Arabidopsis thaliana: one gene and its partners. The protein of the gene in region 3 interacts with the protein of the main gene of each other region in a pairwise test. Each region holds a gene or a part of one and is shown on either strand. Other genes may lie near its edges.

What was found.
Region 1: the proteins of MYB42 (region 3) and ASHH3 interact in a two-hybrid assay, tested with the Arabidopsis thaliana proteins (one large-scale study listed by BioGRID).
Region 2: the proteins of MYB42 (region 3) and ULT1 interact in a two-hybrid assay, tested with the Arabidopsis thaliana proteins (one large-scale study listed by BioGRID).

Annotation. Positions count from the first base shown.
Region 1 is NC_003071.7:18,252,827-18,264,066, reverse strand, and holds ASHH3 (histone-lysine N-methyltransferase ASHH3), read right to left. Parts: upstream 5,499-11,240; 5' UTR 5,205-5,498; coding exon 5,187-5,204; intron 5,107-5,186; coding exon 4,977-5,106; intron 4,887-4,976; coding exon 4,769-4,886; intron 4,645-4,768; coding exon 4,545-4,644; intron 4,468-4,544; coding exon 4,389-4,467; intron 4,296-4,388; coding exon 4,124-4,295; intron 4,028-4,123; coding exon 3,947-4,027; intron 3,865-3,946; coding exon 3,717-3,864; intron 3,584-3,716; coding exon 3,544-3,583; intron 3,454-3,543; coding exon 3,363-3,453; intron 3,275-3,362; coding exon 3,226-3,274; intron 3,130-3,225; coding exon 3,064-3,129; 3' UTR 3,052-3,063; intron 2,963-3,051; 3' UTR 2,525-2,962; downstream 1-2,524. Other genes in the region: MTHFR2 (methylenetetrahydrofolate reductase 2), read right to left, coding at 13-124, 222-322, 402-575, 883-1,056, 1,136-1,218, 1,304-1,766; AT2G44140 (Peptidase family C54 protein), read left to right, coding at 6,902-7,358, 7,439-7,524, 7,600-7,647, 7,739-8,118, 8,213-8,351, 8,499-8,554, 8,644-8,714, 8,795-8,961; AT2G44130 (Galactose oxidase/kelch repeat superfamily protein), read right to left, coding at 9,107-10,336. UniProt on the Arabidopsis thaliana protein: Histone methyltransferase.
Region 2 is NC_003075.7:13,978,851-13,989,386, reverse strand, and holds ULT1 (Developmental regulator, ULTRAPETALA), read right to left. Parts: upstream 4,365-10,536; 5' UTR 3,635-4,364; coding exon 3,348-3,634; intron 2,940-3,347; coding exon 2,595-2,939; intron 2,512-2,594; coding exon 2,337-2,511; 3' UTR 1,945-2,336; downstream 1-1,944. Other genes in the region: AT4G28200 (U3 small nucleolar RNA-associated-like protein), read left to right, coding at 1-132, 459-899, 977-1,149, 1,224-1,407, 1,499-1,579; AT4G28180 (uncharacterized protein), read left to right, coding at 5,706-6,476; AT4G28170 (uncharacterized protein), read right to left, coding at 6,812-6,916, 7,426-7,752; AT4G28160 (hydroxyproline-rich glycoprotein family protein), read right to left, coding at 8,662-8,997; AT4G28150 (hypothetical protein (DUF789)), read left to right, coding at 10,475-10,536. UniProt on the Arabidopsis thaliana protein: Putative transcription factor that acts as a key negative regulator of cell accumulation in shoot and floral meristems. Negatively regulates the size of the WUSCHEL (WUS)-expressing organizing center in inflorescence meristems.
Region 3 is NC_003075.7:7,319,828-7,330,073, reverse strand, and holds MYB42 (myb domain protein 42), read right to left. Parts: upstream 5,319-10,246; 5' UTR 5,163-5,318; coding exon 4,900-5,162; intron 4,036-4,899; coding exon 3,438-4,035; 3' UTR 3,207-3,437; downstream 1-3,206. Other genes in the region: AT4G12360 (Bifunctional inhibitor/lipid-transfer protein/seed storage 2S albumin superfamily protein), read left to right, coding at 970-1,321, 1,611-1,649, 1,816-1,910; AT4G12340 (copper ion binding protein), read left to right, coding at 8,070-8,582; AT4G12334 (Cytochrome P450 superfamily protein), read left to right, coding at 9,013-9,133, 9,252-9,472.

The DNA of each region.
Region 1 (11,240 bases), on a different chromosome or scaffold from region 3:
GTATTGTAGTACCTGATGATCCGAGAGTGCACCATATGAAGCACTGCGTGAATCACCCCACCGGCCTTGTGGGAAATCTTCCCAGCCCTTGGTTCTAGAAATGTAGCTCTTTGGACGGTTTGCCCTTCAAAAGATTAGAAGAAAGAACAAGTCTTATTTTCCCTGCAGAGTAAAATATGTGGCTAAGTATAATCAGAACGAGAGAAACTAAGCTCTGTTACCAGAAAATGGGGCGCACATCTTCCTTAGTACGGAAAACATTTGCAGGGCGTCTCCAGGGTAAAGAACGAGAAATTTTGGACTCATCAATCATACCAAGATTCTGAAACAACAACAAAATAGTAAAGCTACTCCACTATCAGTATCATGCTTTACATCAAGTAGAAAAAGTGAGGACCAACCATCAATATTGCAAGAGCAGATTTCTCCATGTTCAATGTGTAGAGATGAAGAGACTTGACTCCATGAGCCAACATCTTTTTACACATCTCTGTTCCAAGGTGAATACCATAGGCTTTCACAGCTTCTTCGTTATCCTTGATAGGCTCCAAGGCAGCCATCACCTCAACTGGTATCTACATTAATATAATCATATGTAAATTCATCTATCTTTTTTTCACAAAAAGCACAGCTGGTATCTACATTAATATAAAGAATTCTCTTTGAATAGCTATCCAACAAACACTTTCTCTGAAAACAATAATATAATCAAGTATCTCAATTTCATCTAGCTGATCACGAAACCTTAAATACACTTTTTTAAAAACATATCCTAAGCTAGCAAACAAACACCTTTATGGAAAGGCAACAAGCAATATCATTCATCTCCTAAAAGGTGATTCATTTGCAGGAACTGGTGTTTACTAAACGATCAAAACTTACCTTAGTCTTGCAGAAACCAGTCATACGCAAAAAGCCTCTGTAGTTATTAATAGGCATAATTCCAGGAACAATGGGACAACTAATCCCAATTTGCCGACAATCATTCACAAACTTGAGGAATATATCAGTATCATAGAAAAGCTGAGTAACAATCAGATCAGCTCCAGCATCAATCTGTTCCAAGACAAACCCAAATTCAAAAATTGATGCAGACATTTAAGAACAAAGCAAAACAAAAACAAACAAAACAAACCTTTTTCTTCAGATACTCAAGATCACTCTGATAAGCTTCATTAGACGCAAGACCATTCTCACCAATAACATCAGGATGCGCCTCTGAAATATCAAAACACATAAAAATCCAATCTTTAGCTACAAATCACACGAAACAAAGAAATCAAATTCGAATTCGAGACATTACCAGGATAACCAGCGACAGTGATACCAAAGTAATCACCATACTTGCTACGAATGTGATTAACAAGATCCAAAGCACAATCAAAACCACCTTCAACCTGAACAAACTTATCTTGACCATGAGGAGGATCACCTCTAAGAGCAAGCACATTCTGAATCCCATTAGATCTAATAGTCTCAAGAGCATGATCAATCTTCTCAACAGGCATGTTAGTACACGTAAGATGCATCATACTCTCAACACAAACAACGTTTTGCATCCTCGAAGCTATATCAAGCGTTAGATCTGCGGTAGATCCACCAGCTCCCCAAGTGATATCGCAAAACGTTGGACCATAAGCAACCATTCGATCCATTCTCTCAAAGAGATTGTCGACTCCATCTTCTGTCTTTGGTGGGAAGAATTCGAAGGAAAACGCTGTTTTGCCTTCGTCGGCTAATGACTGGATCTTATCTATCACCTTCATCTTCTTTTCGAAATGGAGAAGAAGAATGAGAGACAAAGGCGAGTTCTTTCAGGTTCTTCTACTCACTGCTTTATAGTAAACAGAGAGATTCCAAAATGTTTGGTGAATTTTAGACTTTACCTTACCCGTCCACTTCCTTATATTATTTTCATTTTTAAGACAAAATCATACTTTAAATAAAGTATAATTACATAATTTACATTTAATCATTGTTTTGTGCGAAAATCCATGTAGTTAGACAACATGAGTTACATTTTTATGCTTGACAAAAAAAAACATTTTTATTAAAGTGTTTATTATTCAAGAGATTTACCAAACCATTCTAAAGTGAAAAAAATGAAGAATCCGAGTTATTTGATATTAAGATAGTCGAGTTGATATTAGTAAACAAGATGAGTTACATAATTATTTTAAAGGAATGTGATTAGTAAAAGATTTACCAACCACAATTAGATTTGTCGTTATCAATCCCCAACCCCTGCAGTCTATGCTTTTTGAGTTGGTGAACCAGAACCACACACCCACATCACCCACCTACTACCAAAAAACCAATGATCCATCACTTTTGTTTAACAAAAATAATCTACTTTTACCAAAAAAAAAAAAAAAAAAAAAAAATCTAATTAAAATTTTCCGTTTTTCACTTACAGTGTATCTTTAAACTTTACAAAACTTTTTCCAATTTAAAACTGTTATGTTGTTTTAGTAATTTTTCACTTGTTTAACTCATTTTGCATTTGAAGGAATTTGAAACGTTAATCGCTAAAACAAAACTGGTCAGATTTTGCAAACACCGGCTTTTGTCGGCGACACCGACACAGTCACACTCACACAGATGCACGAATAAGAACAGCACATGCAAACAAGAACAAACCGGTCTTTGGATACAAATTTTTAAAAGCTAAACCGGATATGAGATTACCGGTTCTTACAAAGTCAATTACACACCACGAAGGTTCTTGCAAGACATCATCATTTGAGATCCCCATGAAAAAAGAAGGAAGGAGAAGAAAGTACAGATGTGGTTACACAAGTAGATATATGATATCTCTTATAATGGTTGTACAAACACAGGTCACAAGTTAGACGCAACAAACAATGTCACTGCACCAATCCCAGTCAGTCAGACCCGGGTTTTTTGGGATACCTTTAGTTTACCAAGACAGGTTATTTTGGTTTCTCAACTTCAAAGCAATCTGCAGAAACATAGCAGCCAGGGTAATTTAATACTCTATGCTTCTGGGAGTTTTAATGTTTCATTAAGAGAGTGAAGAGTATAAATCACCTGAAAACAATATTAGACAATCTCCCAGTCTTCTCTCGACATGTCGACAAACTCGGTAACACCATCCTCGAACATCACCTGGACCAAGTTTAAAGATGTTAACAGAGAGGTCTTAATTGAGAATGATTTTGCCAAGTTCGATGGTGAGGAACAAGTATTGGCTAATTGTAATACCGAGTGCTTTCTTGAATACTCATCAAAATGTCTAACGAGGCCAAAACACCTGAAAATCTCAAAAGATAAAACATTGGATGAGAAAAGCATAGAATGAGTCATAAAACTAATCCACGAGTTCAAAACTCAATAAATACCTATCACTCGTGGGGCGAGATAACCTGATCACCACACCAATGCAATTACGCGAACATGTATCCCTTTGACTAAGATTGTTCCATGATTTTCCTGGAGAAACATGGGAATCCAAATTACTTTCTTACAACCAAAACACAATAAGCTACTCTCGCAAATTGAGCAGAAAAAATCCAAACTTACCTGCATCTATGTGTCTATTTACAAGTCCATTTTGATGCACCTAACCAAAAGTGGGGAAAGAAAAAGAGTCACTTAGACCTCATCACACAAATTTTTCAGTGACTGTGAAACTATGCCAGGGCAAAGACGAGATATATATTTGATTCTTCTTTTCAGATAAAATTTGAAAATACCTTGGGCAGTGTCTGGGCCAATTCATGTGCCACTAGATTAAAAGCTTCATCCGAGGCTATCTTAGGTTTGCTAGGTTTTACACCAAGCTTCCTTCTGCAACCTACAGCCCCACAATGGCAGTCTTGATCTGCACCAAACTGAACAAACCTGCTCTATTTCTTAGTGTCACAACTCAACATAAAAACAGATATGTTACAAAGTAAACTGGAGAAGGAGGATATAAACTTACTGATAATCATAGGTCAAATGCTCTCCCTTTTTGATACCACGGGTGGCGAAAATGCCGATTCTGGTCTCGCCGTCAATTATCCTAATTGCAAGCAAAAGTAAACCAAATGATGACTTTTCTCTCTCAAGTATTCTAAACTAGGAAACAAGCACTAAGGGTTGACAGTTAACAACAAACCATTTCTGCATCTGCGTATTAGGGTTGCAGCTATGATTAATATATCTTGATTTGTTTCCCTTATGAGTAGCATCAATAACCATATCTCTGGTTATCTCACATAAATAAAAGTTTGTCTCGCCACGGTGTTTCATCTTCCAAAGCCTCTCTTCACAAGTCTTATCATCAATAACTACATTGAGCAAAGGTACGAAAAAAGAAAACAAATTAGACCATGGTCGCAGTATATTCAGTAGGGAGACAAAATATCAAATAGTCACATCACCTTCTCCAACATATTCAATGATAAACTCTCCAGCTTCGATTTCTTCTTCTGCCACAATCCCTGATCCGCATTTTTCTGTCTACAAGACACAACTAAAATAACAAACCGACAACAACAAAAATCCACTCTATCCAACCAAAACCAATCACACATTACCTGAATTAACTTCATCTTCTTGACATGTCGTTGTTGGAACGGCTTATTGTTACACTCACTCCCACACTTGCAACTTGAGGAACAGCTTGAGAATAGCATCCTAACACAAAAGATAAGGTTTTTTCCAGTTCAATGTACTTAAACAAGCAGATAATTATGGTCTTATATCAATGAAATGCTGAAATAGATAGATCAAGAAAAGTGAAATAAAAACAGAGGCATACCCACAATGGCAATTACTCCCACAGACAGTTGAAGAAGAACCAGGAGACGAGGAGGAGCAAGAACAGAAGATTCCATCATCTTCAACCCTCCTTTTGACTTTCTTCGTCAAGTATATATCTTTAACAAGTCAAGGCCAAAACAAATCTTGATCAAAGCTAAATCTGCAAAATGAAACAAAACCAAAACTGCAATTGCAAAAAAGGATACTGCGCCTGATGAAGATATAAGGAGTAGGTTTTCCTTTATTCAACCACTCCGGTAACTCGAATTCTTCAGATTCTCCAATCTGATTCAATAGCTTGTCGAACACTTGCCCTAAGTGATTCCGGTCCGAAATCTGAGAAAAATATCTGGAAATTTCAGATATCAAGAATAAAGTTAAAATTTCCATGAAGCGGAGATTGTTTTTGAACAGACCTTTTTGCTGGCTGGCATGTCGAAAGAATCTAAAAGAAGCTCTAAAAACCAGAGAATAAGCAAGATTTGAGCGTCGACCTATTGAGGTAACACCAAGTTCGATGAAACTAAGAAAAGAAGATGGCTAAAACTAGTACGTCTCTCTGTTGTTTCGGAATTCGAAGTTTCTCAACCCTAATTATTACTTCTTGTTGTTGTTGAAGAAGAAGAACTGAAGAAGTAACAATGGCGGATCTGAGACAGTAAGAAAGAAGAAAGAGCGGCAGTTGCTTTTTTTTTAATCTTTTTTTCTCTTTGATAATTACGCTTCAGAAATAAATGGCTTCAGGGTAAAACCGTAACTTGACTCGATATGATATGTTGGCCCAGTGTCAATATGGGCTTTTTTATCCGATCCAATTTTTTTAACTAGCCCAAATTAGCTGAGCTTAATTAACCCAAACTAATATTGTTGCTTTATGTCGTTTATATGTCATAGCCTTTTAGCCGTAATCACTAATCACATTAATAGCAAGCAGCAGCAACATTTTAATTTTGTGTACTGTTAACATGTTGATGGATGTGTTAACAAAAAAATTAGGAACCTGGAGAAAAGTAAAGTAAAATACTATCAATGTCATTGTTAATATAATATTCGAACGTTTTATCCGAAGTAAACAGGTAAATCGGAGAGTATTTATTTTTTTCCACGTAAAAAAATGGTAAACAAGTGTAATCATAATTCATAACCCTGATTATGTGAAGTTTAATTAATAATTAAACGATATAGATTGTCATTAGTTGAAAGCGAAAGATTTGAAGAAGGTAAAAAGAAGAATCGCCATTGAGATTGTCCCAAAACCTCCAAAGGAAACACACGTTTGTCTTTGCTCTGAGGTATCTTCGACGGGACGTTGAAGCGAGCAAGATACGACACGAAATCGATCTCCCCCTTGCGTTTTCCATCTCCGTCGTCTGCTGAAACCATTTGATCGATCTCTCAGGTGATCCTTCTGTTTCTTTTCCTATTGTTTTCTCTCTGCTAGAAAAATTCGGAGTTGTGAGAATTCCTGGGCTAAATTGGATGATGAAATTCTGCTACACGAAGAGGAGTTGTCAAAATTTAAGTTGATTAATTGATCATTTTCGATTACTGTAGATCCGTGAGTTGAAATTTCGTCAAGCTCAAGTCTGTTTCTTGATTTTGTCATTTGCTAGAAACATTCTTCAATTAAGAGAATATGCATGTGGAATCCAAATGCTTTGATCTCTAAAATTTTGGTTTATATTTCTCTGTTGACTCCCTAAACCTTCCTAATATCATGCGGAAAATTCTATGTTGTGATGTTTCAAGAGGTCAAGAAGCTATGGATTGGGTTTATTTTCTCATCAAAATCTGCTTAGTGTTTGTAATTGTAGAATCGTTATTGTGTTACATGCTTACTTGTTTTTGGGGTGTTAAGCTGAACTTCAGTGGTCACAAAACTATAGTTATGGTCTCAGAGAGTTAATTGATTAAACTTTTCTGAACCTTGAAGTCACACACACCCAATCTTGTGTAGTGTTTGAAGTTAATTGTGGAAGTTTTTAGTCAATCTTGGCTTTCTGATACTACTTAAAAGTATGTTGGATGTTAATTCAGTGTCTTTTGTGCTTATTATTTCAGATAAGGTTCTCAGGATTTAGGTTGCTTCTATGAGAAGGACACGTTGCAGTTGGTGCTTCATGTCTAGGTAATGAAGGCTTTATGTGATAGATTTGTTCCTCAACAATGTTCTTCATCAAGCAAGAGTGATACGCATGATAAATCCCCTTTAGTTTCAGATTCTGGACCTAGTGATAATAAGTCCAAGTTTACCTTATGGTCAAACGTGTTTACGTCTTCTTCCTCAGTTTCTCAACCGTATAGGGAGTCTTCAACTTCTGGGCATAAGCAAGTTTGCACCACTCGTAATGGTTGGACAGCATTTGTAAAAAGAGTCTCTATGGCTAGTGGAGCAATTAGGAGATTCCAGGAGCGTGTTTTAGGGCCTAATAGGACCGGTCTTCCGAGCACAACTAGTGACGTATGGCTCTTGGGTGTCTGCTATAAAATATCTGCGGATGAGAACTCAGGGGAAACCGATACTGGCACTGTATTGGCTGCATTGCAACTAGATTTTTCATCCAAAATACTGATGACATATCGTAAAGGTTTGTAAACTCAACTACAGATTAAAGCCAAAATAAAGTTTTTTACATAAAATTTACCATTTACGAATTGTATTTTACAGGTTTTGAACCCTTTAGAGACACAACTTATACCAGCGATGTGAACTGGGGTTGCATGATTCGAAGTAGCCAGATGCTTTTTGCTCAGGTGTGAGGAAGAGTATTTCTTTTGGCATGAGATTTTGAAGTTTATAACATATTCTGACAAACCAAATATTATCAGGCGTTGCTTTTCCATAGGCTGGGGAGGGCTTGGACTAAGAAATCTGAGGTAAGCTCAATGTAGCAACACTAGGAACAGAAACCCGGTTTCTTGCATTGAGATAGTGGAAACCTCATGCTTGTTTGATTTAAAAATGCAGCTTCCTGAACAGGAATACTTAGAGACCTTGGAACCTTTTGGTGATTCCGAGCCTTCAGCTTTCTCCATCCACAATCTTATAATAGCTGGAGCGTCCTATGGTCTCGCTGCTGGGTCATGGGTAGGACCGTATGCCATTTGTCGAGCGTGGGAGTCATTAGCGTGCAAGAAGAGAAAACAAACTGATTCTAAAAACCAGACGCTTCCTATGGCTGTTCATATCGTTTCTGGCAGCGAAGATGGAGAGAGAGGTGGGGCTCCAATTCTCTGTATAGAAGATGCTACCAAATCTTGTCTAGAATTCTCAAAAGGACAGTCTGAGTGGACACCGATTATCCTTTTGGTTCCACTGGTTCTTGGGCTTGACAGTGTGAATCCCAGGTTTGCAACTGTGAAATTGATTCCATTATCTCTGTTATGCTCGACTCGTATTTGTACTTGACCTTTCTGACGTATTGCTATAATCTGATGACAGGTACATTCCATCTCTCGTAGCCACATTCACTTTTCCTCAGAGCGTGGGGATTTTGGGTGGCAAACCAGGTGCCTCAACTTACATAGTTGGTGTTCAAGAAGACAAAGGTTTCTACCTTGATCCGCATGAAGTTCAACAGGTTTCATTTCGTGCCTCTGAATTTTTTTAGAGTCCATAAATCTTGGTCTGGCATTGTGGTGGTCCATAGTACCTAAGTCGGATAAGATGCCATTTCACATGATAAGTCGGATACTGATTGAGACTTATCGTTTGATGATTGATTTAGGTGGTCACAGTCAACAAGGAAACACCAGATGTTGACACATCCTCCTATCATTGCAAGTGAGTCTCCTCAAATTATCATGTCACAGACGACTTTTGCCTGGTTCAGTTTTATCTTGTTTCTTAATTTTATCTTGAATCTGCATCAGTGTCCTTCGTTATGTTCCTTTGGAATCACTCGACCCATCTCTAGCTCTAGGATTCTATTGCCGCGACAAAGGTATTGTATTACTACATTCTCTGAAACCAAAAGTTTTTAAATTCTGTAACTTGAAAAAACCTTTCCCTAATCTTCAACAGATGATTTCGACGATTTCTGTCTCCGAGCATTGAAACTAGCTGAGGAATCAAACGGTGCTCCATTGTTCACAGTGACTCAAACCCACACAGCGATAAACCAAAGCAACTACGGGTTTGCGGATGACGACAGCGAGGATGAACGTGAAGATGACTGGCAAATGCTCTGATCATGATCATCGTCAAACATTTTAACAATCTCAAGCTACAATTCTTTTTTTCCTTTTGTTAACCAGTTCTTTGTTTTTTATATGTGTTGGTGTATATTACATCAGATCAGAACACAATGTTGTACTATAAAATCTTTTGGGATTTTCAAACATAGATTGAAGCATGCGAAAATGGAAGAGTAGAGAAATCACAAGGTATATGAACATGATGACTCCATTTTCCCATTTTCTTCTCAGTCGTCATCTTCATCATCACTCCTCCTTCACCTTCACCTTCACTCTCTCTTTTACCGCCAATCATTACCACCGATTCACCTCCTAAGCTTCCGGCGAAAACTGAGCTTCCTGTCATCGGAAGCTGTATAGATTGAAGATCCAGTTTCAAATTTCTCGAATCATCGTTAGTTTCCCATCGACGTTCACTCTGTAAATCAGTGTCTGTGAAACACCATAACGTAGAGGAGCTTCTAAAGTCTCCGGCGGTGCGACCTCTCGGGCTAGTATCTGGAAATCGCCAGACGTTGTCGATTCTCGACCATGAATCTGTCGCTGGATCGTAAATTTCTCCGTCAGATCGGAATCTTCCTTGAGATTCCGTTCCGTAACCGCTCAGCACGCAAAACCTTAGACCCATACCAACGGCGAATCCTTGACATTCGTCTCTTCCTTCCGTCATCGGAGTAACCGACGACCACTCGTCTTTCTCGACGTCGTACACCTCCGCCGAGCGTAAAGCGTTTTTCTGATCGTCGTGACCTCCGGCGACGTATACCTTCGTTGGACTTACGGAGGCGCAGGCGAAGAATGATCGTGATTCCTTCATTGGCGCACCTCGTCTCCACTTCCTTCCGGCGAATTCCAGAACGTAAACGTCTCTCGTCGGCTGTAACGTCTCCGGATCCCAACCGCCGATGAGCAGAATCTTCCCGGCGTCCTGAAGCACGACGCACTCGCAGAAAAGCGGGATCTGCTCCTCCTCTGGAAACGCAACGCGATGCCACGTGGACATCGCAGCGTTGTAAACGCTCAATCCAAAACGCGGCGTGCAGAAAACGCGCGGGTGTGACTCATCCTCTGATTTTTTCTCGTCAACCATTAATGTCTCGTCAACCGATTTAGACGCTGGAATTGGCGGCGTTAGCGGTTGAACGAGGCAGAGGAGAAGCTCTGTTTTGCCGCATCTCCGCCGTTCTTGGATAAAAGAAGAGTCGGAGAGTAAGCTACGCCAAGAACGGCAAACGGATCTCATGGCGGATTGGAATTGGAACGGAACTCTGACCAAACACTCCAAAGCTAGTTCGGAAGGTAAACCGGGAATCAATTCGTGACATTGCTGAAAATCTCCACCTTTCTTTTTCGACACTTCCATAGTCATCGAACTTAAACAAGTTTGAGAAAAACAGAACAGAGAGTGTGTTTGATTGAGCAAAGTGTCTATGTGTAGAAGAAAACACACAAAAACTGACGAAAGTTGCGATTTAAATTTGAGTGAGTGTGAAGCTACAAAGAGGTGGCAGAGCCTTTAAATAGGGAAAGAGGAGGATGAGTTTGCTTGCGGTTGAAATAACGCGACGGTTCGTTTAAATTTTTAAAAACCCCTATAAACTTGATTTAGCAGCGTATGAAAAAAATCAAGATTCGTGTATGTTGCAAAACGCAAACGTATCTAAAAATTTATTTCTTAATCATTCCCTTTCAATCTCACCAAACAGGCAAGAGTCAACACATGGGTTACTTTGATGCGATTTCCTTAATAAGGAATAAAACTTTGAAATGGAATCTATAACAACTGGTTTAGTTCATGAAGACGGTGCTTTTGTTAAAACAATCTTTTCATAAAACAGGAAAAGTAGAAAGCTTCTAGAAGACTTTCATAAGGACAAAATGAACAACTAACAGTGGAGTAAATCATATACTCCATAAGAATTTGATTATTTGAATATCAACCAAAAATTCAAGAAATGTCCATGTTGTTTCATGATGTAAATTGTAAAGGCAAATAGTTGAAGTTAGGTCAGTGGTTACTTGGTTAAGTGAAGTTAGGTAACAATATTGTATATTATAATCACAAATTAAATTGACAGTATACTGCGCCGCACTTTTTGTTTAACGCTTTTACCACTGTATAGCGTCTATAGTTTAAAAACAGTTTGAACTAATAACTTTTTAAACTAGTTTATCAACTAGATATCTAGATTACTATTCCATTTCAGTGTCAATTGAAACCGAATCTATGACATCTTGATAATAAAGTTCACGAAGACCAGTAGTGAGCTTTT
Region 2 (10,536 bases), 6.7 Mb from region 3:
AGTGACCTGAAGCGTGATTTTTGCAATGAACCTGAATACTGGAATTGGCTTGCAAGACATGAAATGAGTGGTTGTATTAGCAATGAGGCAGGCCTAGAGTTTGCAAATCCTCAAATGCAAAAGGCTATTCAGGTAAACAAATCTTAACTTATGACTAGGGGTTAGAAATTTATTAAATGCTGAAATCTGTTAAAGAATGTGGCGGCCATAGTTGTGCTGCATTTCCTTAACATAGATCAAATCTTTAGTCTTGATTTTACGCTCACTCTTTTTGGTTTGAACCTGAAGTCAAATTGCCTAGTTTAATAATGTCGGAGAGGACAGGTGGAACATTGGTTATGGGGGGGCTTTTCTTTAGGACTATACTAACTTGCTTTACCACAATCTGTTTCGGCTTAGTAGTAGAAACTAGAAAGTACAATATCTGATAGGTCTTAAATCTTGTCCCCTGAATGCAGGTTTTTGAAGAAGGCTTGCAAACTGTTACGTCAAGTTCTATGTTTGAGATTTATATAAATTTTCTGATGGAGGCTATTGTACAGTCAAACGGCGACGAGAATGAAATCTCCTCTTTGTCTAATCCGATCATTTCACATATCATAAACGTGTACCAAAAGGCTGATGAAACTGGCTGTTTGACTGAAGAGCTTGCTGATGAATATGTTTCTCTGTACTTGAAACTGGAAAAGACTCATGAAGCTCAGAAGCTAGCAGAAAAGCTCTGCTCTGAAAAATTTGCTGGATCAGCTAAGTTGTGGCTTTCAAGAGTTTCCATTGAAATAAGATCACTTTCAGAGAACTCATCTCCTAGTAAAGCAGATTTTCAGACAGTCTTTGAGCTCCTTTCAAATGCTTTGAGGAAAGTACCGATCTCAGAATCTGAGAGCTTGTGGCTAATGGTATGTGACTAATATATTTTCTAGACAATACACTAGTTTGTTAAGACTACACTAATAAAATGCTTATTGTATTGCAGGCTTTTAATTTCTTTGCTCATCAGCGAACTTATTTGGACAAACTTGTAGAGATGTCCATCCTATCAGCAACCAAAAGCCATGGGAGCGACCATGTGTTTTCTCTTGCTTCCACAGTGGTGAAATTTGTTCTTGAAACAAAAGGGGCCCACAGTGCGAGGAAGATATACAAGAGGTGAGTCACTACTCCTCCAGTCCCTTGAGTCACACATGGACTTTATTCTCACCACTGTTACCGTAAAACTGCAGGTTCTTGGCTCTTCCTGGTCCCAGTCTTGTTCTATACAAAGGTTGCATTGAAATAGAGACCAACCTCATATCAGTAGGTGATAAAGATGGTCTCAGTAATGCCCGGAAGCTGTATGATTCTGCTGTTGCAAGTTACGGTCAAGACGTGGAGCTGTGGAAGAATTACTACTCATTGGAGACAAAGGTAAAGTGGATTCTTAATACCCTGACCAAAACCAATACTATGACTTAGTGTCAAGTATGCTAACTGACAATCTTTCTGATGTTTATTGCAGCTGGGAACATCAGAGACAGCCAATGGAGTGTATTGGCGTGCGAGAAAGACTCTGAATGAATCCGCGGATTTCATAGTTTGATCTCTGATTTATAGGTAGTCTAGTATGTATGATGAAGGAAACACTATGTTTGCCTCGTATTTGTGGATGCAGGTTTCAGTTATGTGATCCTTAAGATATGAATTTTGGTTGTAACAGAACAGGAGTCGATGTACTACTTTATGAGTCTAGTTATACTCTAAAACACTTTTTTGATACAAAAACATGTTGAAGTTCATACATGCCTCTACGTCTTTGGTTTCACGTTTCACATGTTTCACATGTTTCTGATGAATTTATTCTCGTATCCTCTTTACCTGGTGACGACTTGGTCTTTATGATTCTAATGTTTGTTGTTGATAATAAAAGTATACATCACTTAAGGGATCCCATATGGTTACTGTGTTCAAAACAAGACGTCAGGGCTTTTTGGGTATTAAGAAAATGTCTCTTTCCATGTCCCATCTCCTAAATGGCTAAATCACAGACCGAGTAGCTGTGCCATTGACAACTTCGTCTCACAAAGCTGTCAACAGCTAATAAAATAAAGAGTAACAACAAACTATTAATAACACTTTTCCCTGCCACTAGCCAAAAATCTAGACATGCACTAAACTCAGGCATGCTCGTCTGCATGTTCTTCTTGGAAATCAACTTTTTCTACTTTTTTTTCAATTGCTCCATTCACAACCCATAGATAAGATAATTAACTGTTTGGAGTTTTAGAATAAGTTATTAAATGCAACGAACAAAGTCTGAGACAGACATTTTTTTTTCTTTTCTTAATGGACTGCCTTCTTCAAGCTTTGACATTGCTGGTGAAGTCGACACAAGTCTGGCAAGTACACTCAGAGAAACGGCATAACTCGCAGCCAAAACAGACGCAGGAAGTGCAGCCTTTGCAACTAGGTGAACGTGTGCACCCTCTGTACACCTTCCTGCTCCCTCTCTCTTCTTCCTCCTCACATGTTATCCTACGACCACCACACCATTCATTGATATAATACATCATTTGCATCAAACTTAAGTACATACAAGGACAACAAAAGACACCTACTTGTCGTATGGGAAATCTGAGCATTTCCAGTTTGGATCACCCATTGCATTGTGGTGCAAGCGGCATTCGTCTCTGCTCCTCAGCCTGAACCTCCTCTCTTTACCACAATCGTTACACCCAACAAACTCATCTCTATGGCAAACTTTGGCACCTTGTGATCTGTTTGATCTACTGCACTTCTTTGATGATTCATTGTAGTACTTGAGCAATACTGTCTTTGACAATGGAACCTTTTCGCCCCCAATGATAACCCACACATTGTTTTTCCACTTCCTTGCCGTTTCTCTTCCAGAATGCTTCTCGAATGCAGCTGGTGTCAACTTGTCTAGCATCATACAATCAAAACTGTTCAAGTCAGTCACTTTTACTTTCAAAGAGAGCTCTAAATGAGCATCTATACCAAATAAGCTAGAGATGGAATTGTTAGCTACAAGATACCACAAGAACTAGGTTGCATCAAACTTTGACATACACGTACAGCTAAGCGAGACATATCATTTGTCAATAAAGCTACCACTTGGCCAGTAACAAAGAGACGCATTACCATTTACAGATAAACAGACAGCCTAAAACATTACTGTGGCAAATCAAGTCATTTCATTTTCTACAAGAACGGATCTAGCTAGCATACACTAAGACTCATTGATAAATATGTAATCATGCTAAAGACCCTAGCTTTACCAGCCCAATGTGATAGTAGCTAGACAGAGACAAACGTTTAATCTCACACACATTCACATGTAACATGCACACAAATCAAAACCCATTTTCCCAAAAGCATCAGAAAGACACGAGAAAGAGACAGTAGAGACAAAAAAAGAGAGACCTTCATCGCAACCAGGTGTGCATTCGCAGGTGATTTCAAGGTCACCGGTGGGGAAAACCCTAAGTCTAGCAACAGCATCGCCGTATCGGTGACTGGTACAACCACACATGACCTCAACGTAATCGCCACCAACATTGACCCCACTCATCTCTTGTAGCTCCTCTTGCTTAAACAACATGGACCCACATTGCATCTCTCCCTCATTGTTCGCCATCACTCTCTCTCTGAGATTTTCTCCTTATAGCGTATGAGGAGAATGAGAAGAGAGAGAGAAGGAAGAGGAAGAGGAAGAGGGTAGAATTAGGAGATGAGAGAAGAAGGAAAGGCCTCGTTTTGGGGTATAAAAGGAAAGCCCTAAAGGAGCACGCATCTCAAAAGCCGTAAGAGAGATCTGATATCAAAGCAAAAGCTTATTAAGGGCTTTTCGGGAGAAGAGAAGAGAGAGAAATAAATTAGAAAGAGAGCTCTTTTAGTTTAGCCTCTCTTTGGCCTTCTTGTGGTCTTGTGGTTATAGTAAGTAACAAAGAAACTCTCTTATACAAACAAAACAAAAAGGATGCGAATTAGCTGGCCAACAAAACAAAACTCGTGGGGGCATGGGACCTCTCCATTATATTAATGTTTATATACAACTATGTTATAGTATGTATCACCTACATAACATTGTATTGTATATAGGGAAGAGAGAGAGAATTTCTATGGTTGATAAGAGGAGCAGGAACAGAGGCGGTGGGTGAGAGGCTTTTGATAAGACATAAGAGAGAAGAAGTTGAGGAATAGGGTTGTGTCAATTGTTTCAGGTTCCTCTTTGGTTTTATAATGTCATAACTCCTTTTTCTATTTCTTGTACTTACTTCTTTTCAAGAAGTTCTTGATTTTGTAATTTTCAAAGGTCCTTTTTTTTTCCTTTGAGGTTCTGCAAATTCTTGGCTCTTCCCTTTCACCAGGATTCATTGGTTACCGAGTCATTTCACCACCACACCTATTGGCTATTTTTTTATATAAAATAAAAGTTGAAGAAATATATAAAGGTTGGTTTGTTTAATTGTTAAAAGAAAAGGTTTAATCAACTAGTTGTCTATAAAACAACTAGTAACCAAGTACATGACGACGACGTCATTGACATCTATGCCTGTTAGGTATTCTGCAATGCGCTCAAACCCCAAAGTCATATCTCTATATTTGTAGCTATATGTGTTCGAGGAACTCATTTTTTTAATACGGATGAGGATACTAGTGTTGTATGTAGACCATATGATTTATATATGGTATATTTGTTGTTGTTGTTATCTTAAGTACATACACAATGGATGGGTTGCAAAACAAAAACAAAAAGTACATAATGGATAAATGAGAATTAAAGAAAATGTCGCCAGTTTTTTTTTTTGAAGAAAGTGAAATAATTATGTCAACATCTTTACAGAGACATGAATATGAATAAGTTGTCAACACAATTTTTGTATAACAACATCTTTACTTTGAACTTTAAAAACTCTCTTTCCTCCTAGTTGTTCCCAAGAAACTGAAAAAAAGAGTAGCGGATGGGAGTGAACTTATGGATTCAAAACATTTATTATGGGCTTGGGGTTTAGAAGTTTACGAGCCTTGGCCCCTTTCTGATTTCTACTCAAAGTTTTGTCATGTTTTTAAACTTCTCATATTTTGTTTTTGTTTTTAAGATGGTGGTTATAAATATTCGAATATCAAGTTTGCAGCAACGATGTTAGGTTCTTTCCACTTCAAGTTTTATTTAACACAAAACCAACTAAAGATGAAAAAGTAGCTTGCTCAACGCGTTCTTATTCAACAATGAGGTAAATGCAACATAGTGGATGGATGATGAGCTAAAAAATGATGGTCAGTTCTTATCTTCAACTACATTTTTGACGACCAAAAGGAAGATGTTGGTAGTATAAGTATTAAGCATTTTACTTACTGTCGTTACATGTCCGGTGTCCCTGTCCAAGGCAATCGGCAGTTGTGTGTTGAAATTATCCCAACGATGATGGGTCGCTATCTAACGAGATATTTGTCCATCCGCATAATTTTCTTTTGAATATTTTAAAGAAAATCAAACACTAGCGTTTTGTCTTTGAAGATATGAATGAATGAGACAAATATCAGATTCTTTATCAAAGTGGATAAAACAAAAGAGCATAATCGAGCCCATAGTGAATATGGGCCAACATGAGAAAGAGGCCCATTAAAGTTGACAAGTATATGACTCGCGACTCTCGAGAGAGCAGAGTGAGAGAGAGAGAGGAATTAGCAAAAGTAGAAAGAAAATGGGATGCTGCTTCAGCGCCGGAAAAGTCACAGCTCCACCAGTCGCCGCCGCTCAAATTCCTCCACCCCTCGAAGAAGAATCCGTCAAAGAAGTCGTTGTTCAATCAGTCTCTGTCTCCGTCCCCATACCCATCTCCGTCCCTGTCCCAGTCCCCGACCTCGTTCCTTCCGCACCAACAGTCTCAGATTCAGAAGCTCAAGTTCCTCTTCCTCTCTCACCTCCAGCTCCGGAGATCTCTCACAGCAAGTCCGACATTTGCAGCGTCTCTGTCTCTCACAGCTACTCCACTGCCACAACTGCTACCGCTGCGTCCATCCTCGAAGACGATGCTCTCAGCAAACCTCACCGTCCTCCTCCTCCTTCTTCTTCCACCTCTCGCCGTAACAGGCCTGACAGAGTCCTCAGATCTCCGGCAGAACGACATTCTCCTCAGGGGAAGCAGCTCCGTCCTAGGTTAGTCCGAGAGAGACAGTCTCGTCAACCAAACCCTACTCACAACCGGCGAAATGTGGATTCGGGTCCACTCCCACGGAGCGGGTTATCGGATAATCCGAGGCGTCGCTCACAGTCTCCAGCCACTCGTGCCCCGAGTTCTGCAAGAAGAAGCCCCATGAAGAAACGAGTAGGAGCTCCGGAGAAAGACGGAGCAACAGAGGTGAAGAAGAAGGAAGAAGAAACGGAGAAAGTAACTGCTGAGGTAAAGAAGGAAGAAGATGTAACAGCTGTGAGAGACCCTGAAGTGTCCATGGAATGCTTCATCTTTCTCTGATGATCTCTTCTCCTTTCATCATTATTAACTCTGATGTGATTGATTGTTTTTTTTCTTTCCCTTTTTTTGATTTGTAAATTGCGGAATGTATAATTATTAACCAAATCTTATGCGGATCTTCGTTTTTGGTTTGTTTATTGTGGACTCGTAAAGTAAAAGGCAAGCCTACGCAACAACGCTCACAAATTCCATGGCTTTTTATTTTATGGAGATTGCTGCTCTTTTGCTATGGGATAAGCAGACACAAACAGAGAAACACTGTTCTGTTTAACAACACTTGACTACATAAACACTTGTCTGATAAAAAGTCCTACTTAATGAGATGAAAGAAGGTTTCAGAAAGAGCTTGATGATGATGAGGGAGGACATGGCTGAGCAATGAACGTTGGGACATCTTCTCCAGGCATCAACACCGATATCTCTCTTTTACACACATCCATCTGCAAATAAACAACACAAGATTATACATGACATCATCATCTCACAAAAGACAACTAGTGTGTCGACAAATAGGTAGTGAATTCCTCTAAACATATCTTATTTTCTACTCTGCTTATATTCAAACCTCGTTGCATGAATCAAGGGGTTTTGTATCCCCATAAAATAATACATTTAATGTAATCCTGTTTTGGACTTTGCACCATTTTTCAAAGATACGACAAAAGAGCTTCCTCTAGCATAAACCCTGGTAAATCATGATCCTGACCGATAGACTTCATTAAACTTAATAACTTATACGCATTGGCAGGTTTATTTCATCTTAATCTCACCACCCAACAAAAACAAGCATAGTTATGAATCACAAATGTTTGATGATCACAACCTCATTTAGATGCAAATTCCAAGTGAATCAGAATGTTCACTTGAGTTAAAAGACTAAGTAAAAAAACAACAGAACAAAAAACGTAGGCAAAAATATAAAAGCAAATAGAGAGGAGATGTTATGAACCTTGGGGGAAGCAAAAGGAGGAAACTTTTGGTCGAGAGGTGGTGATGGAGTTGGTTTAACGAACATGAACCTCTCAAAAAAAGCAATTAAGAGGAAGATAGCAATCAAAACTCCGGTCGCAACCAAACCAAATGGCACCGCATTCACCGAGCTCTCAAAACGTCCTTGACCTTCTTCGTCCGCAGCTAAAGGACCCGCCGTTCCAAACCTTCTATGGTCGTGGCTGCTCATTTGTAACTGGAAAGAGACTTGTGAAACAGAGGAACAAGATGTAGAAAAAGATCGTTTCATTGCCCAAGTTCCCACTTTTAGTTGACTAGTCAACATTACGTACGTAGTTTGGGCTTTTCTCTTTATTGGGCCTATGGTCCCAAAATGGGCCTACCTTGCTCAAGTTATAATAGTATCTCAGAGGGAAAAAACACGAACGACGAATCGATCGGAGAAGAAGAGCAATCTCGGAATCCCGCGAAAACTTGATCGGCGTATTGGTCACGGGGACTACAATGGCGAAGATTGAACCCATTGATGAGGACGAGTCAGAGGACAAGAAGAAGACGAAGATGAAAAACCGAAACCATGGATCCACGAACTTCTTCGTGTTCGTTGATTATCTTTTCCTCTTTATATTTTTCTGCTTTCTTTGTTATATCATCTTCAAGGTATTGGGTGTTTGAACGAACCTTCATCGATTTGGTTTTTGGTCATGGTGATCGTTTTTTCCAATTCGCTATGGATAGACAGAAACTTCAATTCCAATAGACTTTTCCAAGACATCTCTTTGTCCATTATCATCGCATTGTTTTAGAAGTTTCCAAATTTGATTTGTTAATACATCGTAGTTGTCGTTGGTTTTGTTAATGCTAAATGCTAATGCTGAGATTACTTTGAAACTTTGAGATTTTACATATCTTGACAAAATTTCAGACTTTGTAAAGAGAGTTTCTCTTTTGACTCAATCATGGCAATAATGATTCAATTGAAGAGTTTCTACATATTTCTACTCTTTTGTGACTCAATACATTTGCAGCAATGTGAGTCATTACATTTTATTTGGAAATATTATTTTTAGATAGTATGTAAGCAAAAGCTCTGGAATTTATTCAATATCCTCTTAAGTATATATAGAGAGAGATCATGAAGATATATGACTATGATGAAATGACTAGTATACTTGTTATGTGAACCAGAATTGAATACCCTTCTGCATCTAGCAAAAGCTTATTTGTTGACAGGTCATGGTTGTGGCACTGGTGGAACTTCATCTTCTCCTGAACTCGGACTGCGGGCTTTATTACTAGGAGTTCCATTTGAAGTGGCTGGGGCAACAGCAAGGGGATCTTTGTAAGGAAGGAATGGCAGCTTAGGTGTGGGAGGTAGCAAGAACCTTCCAAAACCAGGAATGAGACTAGATGGTTGAGGCACCATGTTTACAGGAAAGTCTGAATGTTTGCTCTCACTGGGAGTGGGGGAAATGGGAATGTAACGCATTCCGGTTACTTCCTCTGTACATCCAAGAATCAGGCTTACCAGAACAATTGTGGCTGTCAGATTTTGCAGAGTATAAGCCATTGTTGTGTTAGTTGAGGATAAAAGGTAAGAGCTTGAATGTGTGGTTTGTGGAGGGAAGATGGAAGAGATAGTGTGTGTAATATATAGAGTAGAGTGAAATAGTTAAAGCTAATTATGGGTACATTAAACGAACATAAACAAAGTGCTTTATTTACTAAAGAGAGAGAGCCTACAAAGTCTGGTAGCATCTATGGTATTGGCGGTGAATTATTGCATGATGATCAGTCATAACATTTGCCACACATGTCTAATTAGTAATTTTGGTTGTGATGGGCTTTTGTGCAACGAGGTCTTTGTCTTCTCTCTCACTTTTCTTTTATTATTTAAAATCCTACTTTCTTCTCATATTCAAACCGTGAATTCTGCAGGTTTATTTGGCTTCACATACAAGTAACAGAAAAACCGATGAAGAAGAAGTCAGCGAGAGACGACGGCTTCCACTTTGAAAGAGTTTGATTTCTTTTACTTTCTCTTTATTCTTTACGAAGTTGGTAAAACATATTTGACCATTTCTTGAGTTTTCTTCTCCGATCAATCTTTTGATAATGTTTTAATAATTACATTTACGTGACTAGCGGCATATTCTACAGTTGTCTGATAGAAATTTGTAAGAAATCCATAAAAGTCAAAGAGTGTTTCCGTACTTTTATTATCCCCATGTCGTCGTACTATTTGAATGTGTCAAACTTCTATAGTAGATATTTAGTTTAACTTGGATTACAACATTGCCGACTGATCCTGTCACACATGTCCTTTTATGTTAATGATTCTTTTAAACCATATGAATTATAATATGTAAACAAAAAAGTCATTGACCCAGTTTCTCTTGAAATCTTGTTATATGTGATCGACCTAGTTTCTCTTCTTTCAAGATGTATCCAAAAGAAGGAGACTTTGTATTGGGAGATGTCATCATCTAAGACTTAGGAATAATAGCTCTGTTTTGTTGTGTTGTTCACGAACTATGCAAAATGAAGATATTAAGAAGCCATAACGTTTTATACTAAACCCAAACAAACAAAACTCAATCTCATCCGACAAAGTTAGAGAAACGAAACTATATTTTATTAAATGAAAATGAAAATAAATGGAGAAGGTGGAGAGTTGTGAGAAAGACAGGTGAATCTACCAATAATCTCCTGCCTTAGAAGAATGGGTCTCATGGAGTTTGGTTGATTATATAAACCTATTTCCTTACTTTCTTTTATCTCAAAGTAGATACAATTTTACTTGTTTTTTTTCTCATTGCTCAAAACAGAGTTCCGTTGGAGTTTTCTTTAAAAAGTTTGTCCCTTTTCGTTCAATCTTTCCCTGTTTCTGACATTGCCGTGAAAGTCTCAAATGCTCGTCTAATAAAGCTAACACTTTTGTCCGAAAACTAAGCTCTTTGAAACGTCAGGGAAAGAGAATCCCGCAATACTCTCTCCTCTCTCTTTTTTTTTTTTTTCTGGGTCGAAGTTTGGTTCTTTGTTGGATAATGATGGTTTTTGACAGTGAATCTAACCTAGACCGATTCTTACGCTGCACTACACCGATTGT
Region 3 (10,246 bases):
GTATGGAAACCTAATTCTAATAGAAGAGTTGTTGTTCAAAATAAAATAAAATAGTATACTATTAAAATAACCTTTTTAATGTTATCTTAACATTTCTTTTTATTTTCTCACCAAAAAAAAAACATCTCTCTTTACTTTTCTTATTTTTTCTTAGCATATCATTTGTCTTTTTTTTTTTTTTTTTTGAATACCAGGAGATTCTGGGTCGAAGCCCGTAATCCCGTAAACTCGAAACCATAGCATGCGTTTTTGTCATATAATAAAATTTAATGGTTTGTCACTAAATAAAAAAAAACTAAGAAGCTTAGTCAGCAATAACACAAATGTAAAAACTCTTACAAACTTTTCTGGCGGTTTCCACCATTTTGCGGCTCCACATATTCTAGCATTGGCAGATTATTATAGATAGATATTACCATTTCTTTGTCAATTTGTTCTTCATCGCACCAACTATGTTTTAAAAATAACTTTTCACTACTATTCAGCATTTTCAATGCCGGCGAAGTAAACTATCATAGATTCATAGTGACCGTATGAACCACTTTGAACATAGGTTTTATATTAAGAAAAAAAATAATAGTTGATTACATTAGCTAATTCTAATTTCGAATTCTGACGTGCATCATGGTTCTTTCTATATTTTTATTATTATTTTCCAGGGCAATTCATATTGTCAATCATTTTCTTTGCCGGGTCCTTTCCTAATAAAATGTCCGTGAATTAGTAATTAGTTCACTGGATGTACTTATATTATTATGCCAGATATAAATATCTGTTTCAAATTTGGAACAGAATATGTCTTTGTGTTACAAAAGTCCACGAATAAACTATGCCAATTAGAAGTATACATATACCACAAGCTGACATAACCCTATCACTAAGTCAATAACTTTCACGGTTGATTGTGTATATACATACTAATTAAGGAAGCATCAAAAACAAAAGAAAACGATTCTCCCACGATTAATAATGGCTCAAACCACCACCTTGATCTTACTCCTAGCCACATTGCTAGTGGCAGCTACGACTGTTTCAGGACAGGGACCTCATATTCCGCTGGCTCCTAGTCCTTCAGTCAACGAAGCTATGAACTGTGCGGCTGGTTTGGCTGTTTGTCTTCCGGCAATTACTCAGCGAGGACCTCCGTCGCAGGAATGCTGCACAGCCGTAGAGACGGCGTTGACAACTCAGCTATCTTGTCTTTGCGGTTTCATCAAAAGTCCAATGTTGTTGATCCCTTTCAATGTCACCGACTTCAATGCTCTTTTCTCCAAAACTTGTGGACTCACCACTGATCCCAACTTGTGTTCCGAAACTGCCGGTAACATTTTGGTTATAACTTTTGTAGAATACATGCATTAAAACATTAGATAGCCAAATATTGTTGTTGTTGTCGCCTTAAATGCCATTTATCTCTTTTAAAACAAGTCTCATATATATGTTTATATCATAGATAAAAAGAATACATCATTTATTTGCAGCTTTGCCACCACATTATTGTTGCTGCTAGTTTTATTTAGCAAAGAAACATACACATTGTAGATATATTTTGTAACCAGGTCAGTTCATATTTGATAATGTGATTTTTGTTGTCCTTTTGTATTTTGTAGCCCAGGCTCCTTTGCCGAAGACGGCAGCACCTGTTCCAGGTAAGGAACAATTCTAATATGTTTTGTTAAGTTTGATAAAATTTATCGTAAAGTATGAGGAAAATGTTAAGCATTTTTAAAAAATTAAAATCGAAGGTTGAGATTGTAAAAAGATTTCTCAATTTGACACAAGTTTTACTAAAAATACTTGATTCGTCATTTCTAGGAGCACCCAAATCTGACAAGGATGCCGCAAGCAAACTCGCGGGAACAGGCTTGGTCGGAATCGTCGTGATCACGATTGCTGCGATGTTTTATTAAAATTGAATTATATATTCTTAACCATTGGAGTGCTTTATATAGACTATAGCCTATATTCCTATCCGGCTATATGTGAGAATTGTGTTTGGATCAATTATACATGGCGTTTTATTTTGAATTTTGTTTTTTACATCTAGAGTTTTTAAAAATATTGTTGTTGTCGCCTTTAATGTCATTTTGTTTATTACAACTCAAATTTAATATATGTGAAATGTGATCGTGCACTTGAAAATCTTGTTTGTACATGATATATGACATTATAGAGCGGTTAATTTAGGTGTCTTAAATATATCTGTAGAAAAGAAACTTATTTCTACAATTATTTCCTACGATAATTAGAGATTCATATAAAAAAAATACATTTCTTGACCAATTTTTTTATTTTTTCCAAATTATTTCTTCGAAGTAGCTAAAAGAAAATAGATTTTAGTTTTGTTAGTAGTATTTATTACTTTTTTGTTTTAGTTTTTAGTGTTAATAGATTATTACTGATTAGGATATTCTTACAAACTATTTAAGATGAGATATTTGTCTAGTTCATATGGTTGTAACTCAAAGTTATATATTTCACATGTGTGATTTCCACAAAGAGAAATTGCTTCAAATTGCAATTGGATATAAACAAAATTATTGTTGTGAGTTGTGACAATTGATTCCGCCAGGATGTGATGTAGAGATGTCCATTTTTGAACTCTTTCACATAAATAATAAATTTCAATATCGATTTTTTATTATTTAATGATAATAATATACACACCAAGTCTTTTTTGTATCCACGTAAAATGATAGCTTCAAAAAAAAAAAACTGGCAATATATTTATTACTTTCTCAATTCATATTTGTGTGTTATTATCTGGCCAATGATAAAACAGATATAAACAAGAAGCTTAGTTGTCCAGATGGTTTTGTAAATTTAGAATTTTGGTAAACTTTTATCATGAGATCATTCAAATTCACAGATAAATTTTATCAAAGTCGCTGAAATTAATTATCATCAAATAGTTATATATTTTGGGGAACACCAAATTCATCTTTAATTTATTGGGGAACACCAAATTCAACAAAATTATTTTTTACAACGATTTTACAAATTAAAAAAAAGCTCTGTATTTTCCGGTTGATTTAATAAATCATGGACTTACTCTAAAAATCAATCCTGATCAACATAGAAAAATTTGACTACCAATATTTTTAATCAATTTAATGAAGGATATCCTAGCATAAATTATTAAATTTATACAAAACAGAATTTAAAATCAAGGCGAAAAAACTGTTGGGTTGAACTAATTATAATTTGAAATAAATGCAGGAAACAGACATAAAAGATAGGGAAATAAGTCAATAACTCTTACTATAACTCCTAGTGATCCTTTTTCTGTTCCCCTAATATTAGACTTTGAAAAAACCATGGTGCTTCTTTACTGCTTTACATGATTTTTCTTACATTACTTTTATGATGCGTACGTATAAATTATATACACATATTATGTAGTATATCGGTATATATGTTATGTATTCTTGCAAATGCTAGTCCTTGTGACCCGTCTTCATGGAGCTTTGACCAAAACCATGGTAACACTCGAACCCAAAATCTTCAACACCAAATTCTTGGCAATAATCCAAGAACATCCAACTTTCGCCGTTCTGTTTTTCAAATGATCTTTCCGGGAAATCTTCCTCGGCAGCAGTGTTGTTCTTGTCTGAGGCTGCAACTGCAGCTGTTCCTCCAATACCAACGTTATGATTGCTCCATGATGCATCATCGACTAGAGGAGGTTCATCGTTGGTCCATAGAATATTAAATAAATCTCCATAATTATGAATTATATCACCAAGTAATTCATAATCATCATTTGAACTATTTTGATGAGTGATAATGCTATCATCTATTGTATTTGTCGTTGTCCCATCGATCTCTACGATTTTATTATCATTTACATTGTCGGCTTTCGATGAAGTTTCAGATTTATCGACTAAGTTTGTATCGGTAAATACTTTGTTTAAAGGTTGATGGGTCGAAGGATCGATTTCCATCTTAAGGAGCTTCTTCTTGATATGAGTATTCCAATGATTTTTTATTTCGTTGTCTGTTCTTCCTGGTAATCTTGCAGCGATCTTGGACCATCTATATATACATAAAAAGAATTTTAAGAAATATGTTTAGTTACATTGAATATGTTTACCTTTGAAAAATAATGATTTGAGCTAGGTGTTGGTGGAGATGTCAAAGTCTTGTGTCTTGGAATCTAACACAAGAAAGTTGACAATATATATACGCTATGATATTCTATTTGGAAACGAGGAACGTTACTTTGTCTCGAAGTTGAAATAAGATGTACAACTTTTTTATACAAATATTTAGAAGACTTTAATTCAAAGAAAGGAAACTGAATTAAGATATATCGTTTTCTTATAAAACTATTCAGTCTCAAATGATCCATACATTATCTTATATTAAAATATTATGGATTAATTTTCAATTGTACATCACAAATACATTTTCTACAGCATTTATCATTAGTCAACATATATGTTAATAGTTTTTTTACTGTGTTTCACAAAAAGTAACATCTTAGAATTGACTAATTTTTATTATTATTTGTATATAAGTATAGGTGAACGTTATTTAACCTCGGGTTATATGACTATAATGATGACAATCATATGATTATATGTAGAAGATTAACCATTTTTGGTAAATACATAATTAGCTAACAACATGCATATGATACAATATATTGGTGAAATTTGGCATATAGTACTTAACATTCCTACCGAAAATTGTTTTTTGGAATATAGCCTTGTTGTTTATGATAATATCCTCGTGCTGTCGATATTTGGATTTATATCCGTAATTCATGTTGTTGTTAAAAAAAAGATTACTAACAAATTCGGCTTAGTTAATGCATGTTTAATAATGTGTAGTAAAAATATATAACAAATGATCAATTACATATAAACGAAATACAAGGTTAAAACAAGCTCAAACCTGTTGCCGAGAAGAGCATGAAGGTCGATGACAAGCTGTTCCTCGGCGTCGGAGAGAAGACCTCTCTTCAAGTCAGGTCGGAGATAATTGGTCCACCGTAGACGGCAGCTCTTCCCACAGCGACGGAGACCGGCCAGCTTCGGCAAAGCCCTCCAGCAACAGTGGCCGTTGGTCAAGATAAAGTTTATCAGTTTCTTGTCTTCCTCCGCCGTCCACGGCCCCTTCTTCACCATGAGCTTGTCACAACATGGCTGCCTTCCCATTAATTTATATTTGACTGTTTATATATGTTTTGTGTGTTAATTTGAGAGAGAGAGATGAGACCTTAAATATTTTGAAAGTAGAAAGTATATACCAATTAGAAGATTTCTGTCAAAAGCCTATAAGCACCTAAGCTCACCCACCTATATATAACCCAAGTATTTCTTACATCATTCACCACATATTTTTTATTTTAGTTAGAAAATTAGTATCTCATTTGACCCACTTAGGTGAGTAGTGAAACCAAATAGTTAATGACGCTATATGTTTTGTTAGGAATTTATTGTTAAAATCATCTTCTTTAATTCAATCATTATTGTTCGTGGGAAGTAATCATTATAATTGCATAGATTGCAGTTAATTGAATATTTTATAATATGATTAGATCAAATATTTTCATGATTATATTATATATCAGATGCTAAAATATAAATATTTGGTTCGATCTTAGTAATAATAAAAATTCTTCCTTCCAACAAAATGTGTATAGAGTACAGAAGAACGAAATACGATCTAAATATTTAAGTATGGTGAGTATTAGCCAGATTATTGCAAACATTCTTTAGGCTTTAGGTTCATAAATTATATAGGCTTTTGGTATAAAGTAACTATACAGAAATATACGACGTCTAAGGTATACGCATCACATGTTATTTGATTTACTTGAATTAACAACCTGAATACATATATAAAAGTAATTATCCAGAATACGTATAGTTTTAAAAAATAAATACATGGTAATTAATATGGTATGTGTGATGGGGAAATTTCAACAATTTCCAAGAAATTAAATTTGTACCTTTCTTATGATGATCAATATTCTATGTATACAGTATACCTAACAATAATATATATGCATGGTTCATTTTCACGTATAAAATATTTATACATCACATGCGTGCATAAACTAACTTGTGATGGTGAGATGATTAAAACATTTTGGAGGATAAACTAGAAATCGTATATATATATACTTCACAGAATTGTTAATGTCGATAGAAATGTTTCTTTCTCGATATATATACGATTTCTTATGATCAAATCATTTTGGTGAAGAAAAAAAGTTAATGTTTTTGTCTAAAATAAATCATTGTTATGGATTTTAATTATAGTTGTTTAATTAATATCATTTTACGAAAACTGAGGAGTGTTGGAAAACCTTGATTAATTGGTTGGTGAAAACTGAAAATGACTTTTGAACTAATGTGAAATGATAGGGTACATACCTGCGAATGTACACGCGTACGACCAGTAGAACTTTAACACCAAAATGAAAGTTTAAATTCAATTAGAATATGTTTTGATGAAACAAATATAGGAAGGTATGCATATATATTTAGCATGTGATTCAGACTTAGTGTAAACCATTGATTGAATGGTAAATTTTGTAAATCCTAATGCTTTGGAAAGGAATATTTTATTATTAAAACAGTTGATCCTAAAATTAGCTGAACACACAATAACATACAAAAGACACTTGCTAGTTGCTACTGATACAAAAACTTATTATAGTAAAGATTTTTCGATAAAAACAATATACAATTAGTGTTCGAAATCTAACATCGTCAAAGGTTATGAAGTTGTCTTAGTTTAGGCATTGCCGTGGACAATACCGCAAAAAGTAAGTAAACATTTTTGTTCGTAGTCGTACGTTTATACACGTGTGGCTAATTAACAAATAAGCTATCTTATAGAGTTATAGTAATATATCTTTGCATGTTGTCTATACGGAAAAATTATAAAGACGAACACCTATTTGACACGTACGTATACAGAACTAAATCTAATTTATGTTGTAAAACTTTCCCACTTCATGGGTGACTGACTTGTAAGTTTAGCTGTAGAGGGCTTTTCCCAAATTAATTCATTTTTTTATAATATTGTAAAAACATGCGTGATTAGTCTGTGTTAGAAGAAGTACAACGTTTTGTTTAGAGAAAACTCTGGCGAAGGGTGAAACTCCCATATCTAAATTCGATTCTTTCTTAGAATAAAATTATATTTATTTGGAAAATTTATCGGTTGGGTCGTGCTTTAATTAGTTTATATGGTAGTAAGAAATGGAGACGACCTGATTATTCTATAACATTAGTCGAAAGACATTTCAAACTCGAATCTGGTAGTGTGGTGGTCTAACTCTACCTGGATCGGGAATAGTCCACTTTGTAGCATATTGGTGCGTTTTTACTAAAACTGACCGGATCAGCCGATAGAGTATAAAAAAAAAATGAAATGAATAATTCTGTATACAGTAATGCATGAAAATTTAGTATTTGTTTTGTCAAAAAAAAATAAAAACATTTAGAGGAAATATCAGGTAGCCCAATAAACTTTTGTTTATATGTACATAAATGTAATAGCCTTCTAGGCCCAATAAGATAACTTGGGCTAAAGATAGTATTTTTTTAATCTTGCAAACTAAGCCCAGATCTACTGTGAAGAGCGTCGCAGTTTCGCAGCTGTAACAAGATTTCTTCTGGCGAAGAAGAGAGAATCGCCGTTCACCGATTCGTTTCTTTGTTCATCTCCTCCCAGGTAATCTGTGAATTTTTGCATCGATTTATTGAAGCTTGGTGTAGATTCTAGGTTTTTGTTTTAAGTTTCCAGAATTCATCTATATCGATGTCGAAGAATTACTCCTTCGATTTTGTATCGATCGATGTTGATTCTATCATCTTCTTAGTTACGAACTTGATTAGATATCTGTTTGCTTTCGGTTTCGATGTTTTGATTCGTGAAATTGAAGATCTTTGAAATACTATAAGCAGAGAATTTCAAAAATCTATTGCGTGAATCGTTGATGTGAAGAAGCTTTGTTGTGAGATGTTCACATTGAGACTCGCATTAGATTTTGAGGAGATACTCTTGTTTACTAAGTTGTGTGGATGTATTTCATCTTCCAGGTAATTATGGGAGATTTCTCGATTCAGATCAGTTCTAAGCTGATCAATCAGCTAGCTGAAGGTAACGATCAACCAAAGAGGAGGGCAAAGAAAACCAAACCTAAAGTCTCACCACAGAGCAAACAGAAAACAAACCAAGATGAAGAGAAGAAACCTAATCCAGTGGCTGAATTACCGATGCAGCCACCGTTTTTCTTCCCAATACCACCACAAGGAGCAGCAAGCACAGAGCTGGAATCGATAAAATCCGTTGTGAAAGAGAGTGAGAAGGTTCTTGAGAAGCTGGAGTTACAAGAGAAGAACATTGTTCGTGAAGTTACGGAGAGAGCCAAGGATCTGAGGGAGAAAGAGTTTAAGATCCCGGAACCTAAACCAATGCCTTGTTCGTCAGATCACGAAGCCTGGATGAAATGCTACAAGGAGAACATCGGTAGTCCGTTGAAATGTAGCGGTTTCGTTAAGAGTTTCCAGGATTGTGCACGCCGGTCCAGACAGCAAGTGAATCCTGAAGAAAAGTAGAGATAATAAGATTCAAAAGGACTTTTTTGAGACACGAAGGGAATAGTTTTTGCTTTCTGAGATCATATGAATGACACAGAAGAATTGTGCTTGTTTCCTTTTGATTTCATGAAAGCAAAAAAGAAAGAAAAAAAATAAGCAGAATCTGTGATTATGTTCATGAGATAAAACTTTCAAAACTATGTTCTTGATTAACTATTTTGGCTTATCTTCTACTTTCTTTTTTTGTTTAGATTCTTGCAATGTTGGTTTTCTATTTCTTCTAAGAATCCAAGTAACTAATCTGTCATTATTTTCACGAGTAATCTCCAATGGCTTCAATGTTCAGTTTCTTTAAATATCCGCACTCCTCTGTTTTCATACTCTTAGCAGCAATACTCTCAACAGGGTGAATCTTGGAGAACAGATATTTCTTTCGATCTTTAATGTCATGACTCGTATGATGTTGGGTGCAATTGTTGAAGAAGAAGAAAGAACAATTCTTGGAAACGAGCTCAAGAAACTGATTCTGTTATTCCAGATATCGAAGGAAGCTCAAAAATACTCGTATGGTTTTCGCGCGGTTTGATTTCCAAAGACTAACTAAGGAAATGCGAGTTCATGTCGAAAACTTGATCTTTTAGTCGATCAGGTGATGGAGAATCATGTGAAAATGGTTGGCAAAAAGAGTGATGAAGGAAGAAGAAGATTTTCTTCAGTATTTGTTGAGAGTTATAGATGATGATGAGAAAGCTCCATTATCAATGACTCATATCAAGTCATTGCTTATGGATATGGTTCTTGGTGGGTTCGATACATCGGTTAAAGAGCCTCATATTCCTAGGTTACTTTACTTGCAAGCTATAATGAAAGAGACGCTACCTTTATCTTACAGTTCCTCACCGGAATAGTAAAACCTCGGTTGTTGCGGGATACACGGTTCTGAAAGATTTAAAGATTTTCATCAATGTTTGGGCGATTAATAGAGATACTAAGAATTGGGAGGAAGAAGGATCCAAAAGAGTTTAAGCCTAAGAGGTTTCTTAATAGTTCTTGTGATTTCATTGATAAGTGTTGTTGTGTTAAGGTTTTGTAAGGAACATTACTTCCTCGTTCTTTGATTATTATTTTCATAGAATACAGCTTTTATGTGGATGTGATTTGTGTGCGGTTAAAAATTCATAAAACCCGATTTAATTGTTGAAACTTTAAAAACATATTTTAAATTTTCAATTTTTTTTTAACATAATATATACATACGATTACAACAAACGAACTTAAATTTGTAAGAAAAACATATATTGATTAACTCGTGTATTGTACGGGTTCTAATTTAGTAATTATATAATCTTGTTATAGTGGAGCAAGTAACATTTGACATTACATAATTGATAATGAAATTTTCATTTGATAATCATTGTACAAGTTTTTTTTTCAATTAATAAAGTGTGTTAAGCGATTTGAACTTTGAATTAGTATCTTAGTTTAAATACTTTAACTCGTTTTCTAAGGTTAAAAATCCAAATTTTAGCCACATTTGATTATCAAACAATCTAACCATCCACATGTTATCATCTGCAATAGTCAGTCATATAAAGATTTCTTTTCTTTCTAATCATTTAAAGATAATATATTATAAGTAAATGATGAGGTATACCGTTGACAAATTATTAGATTTAATGTGA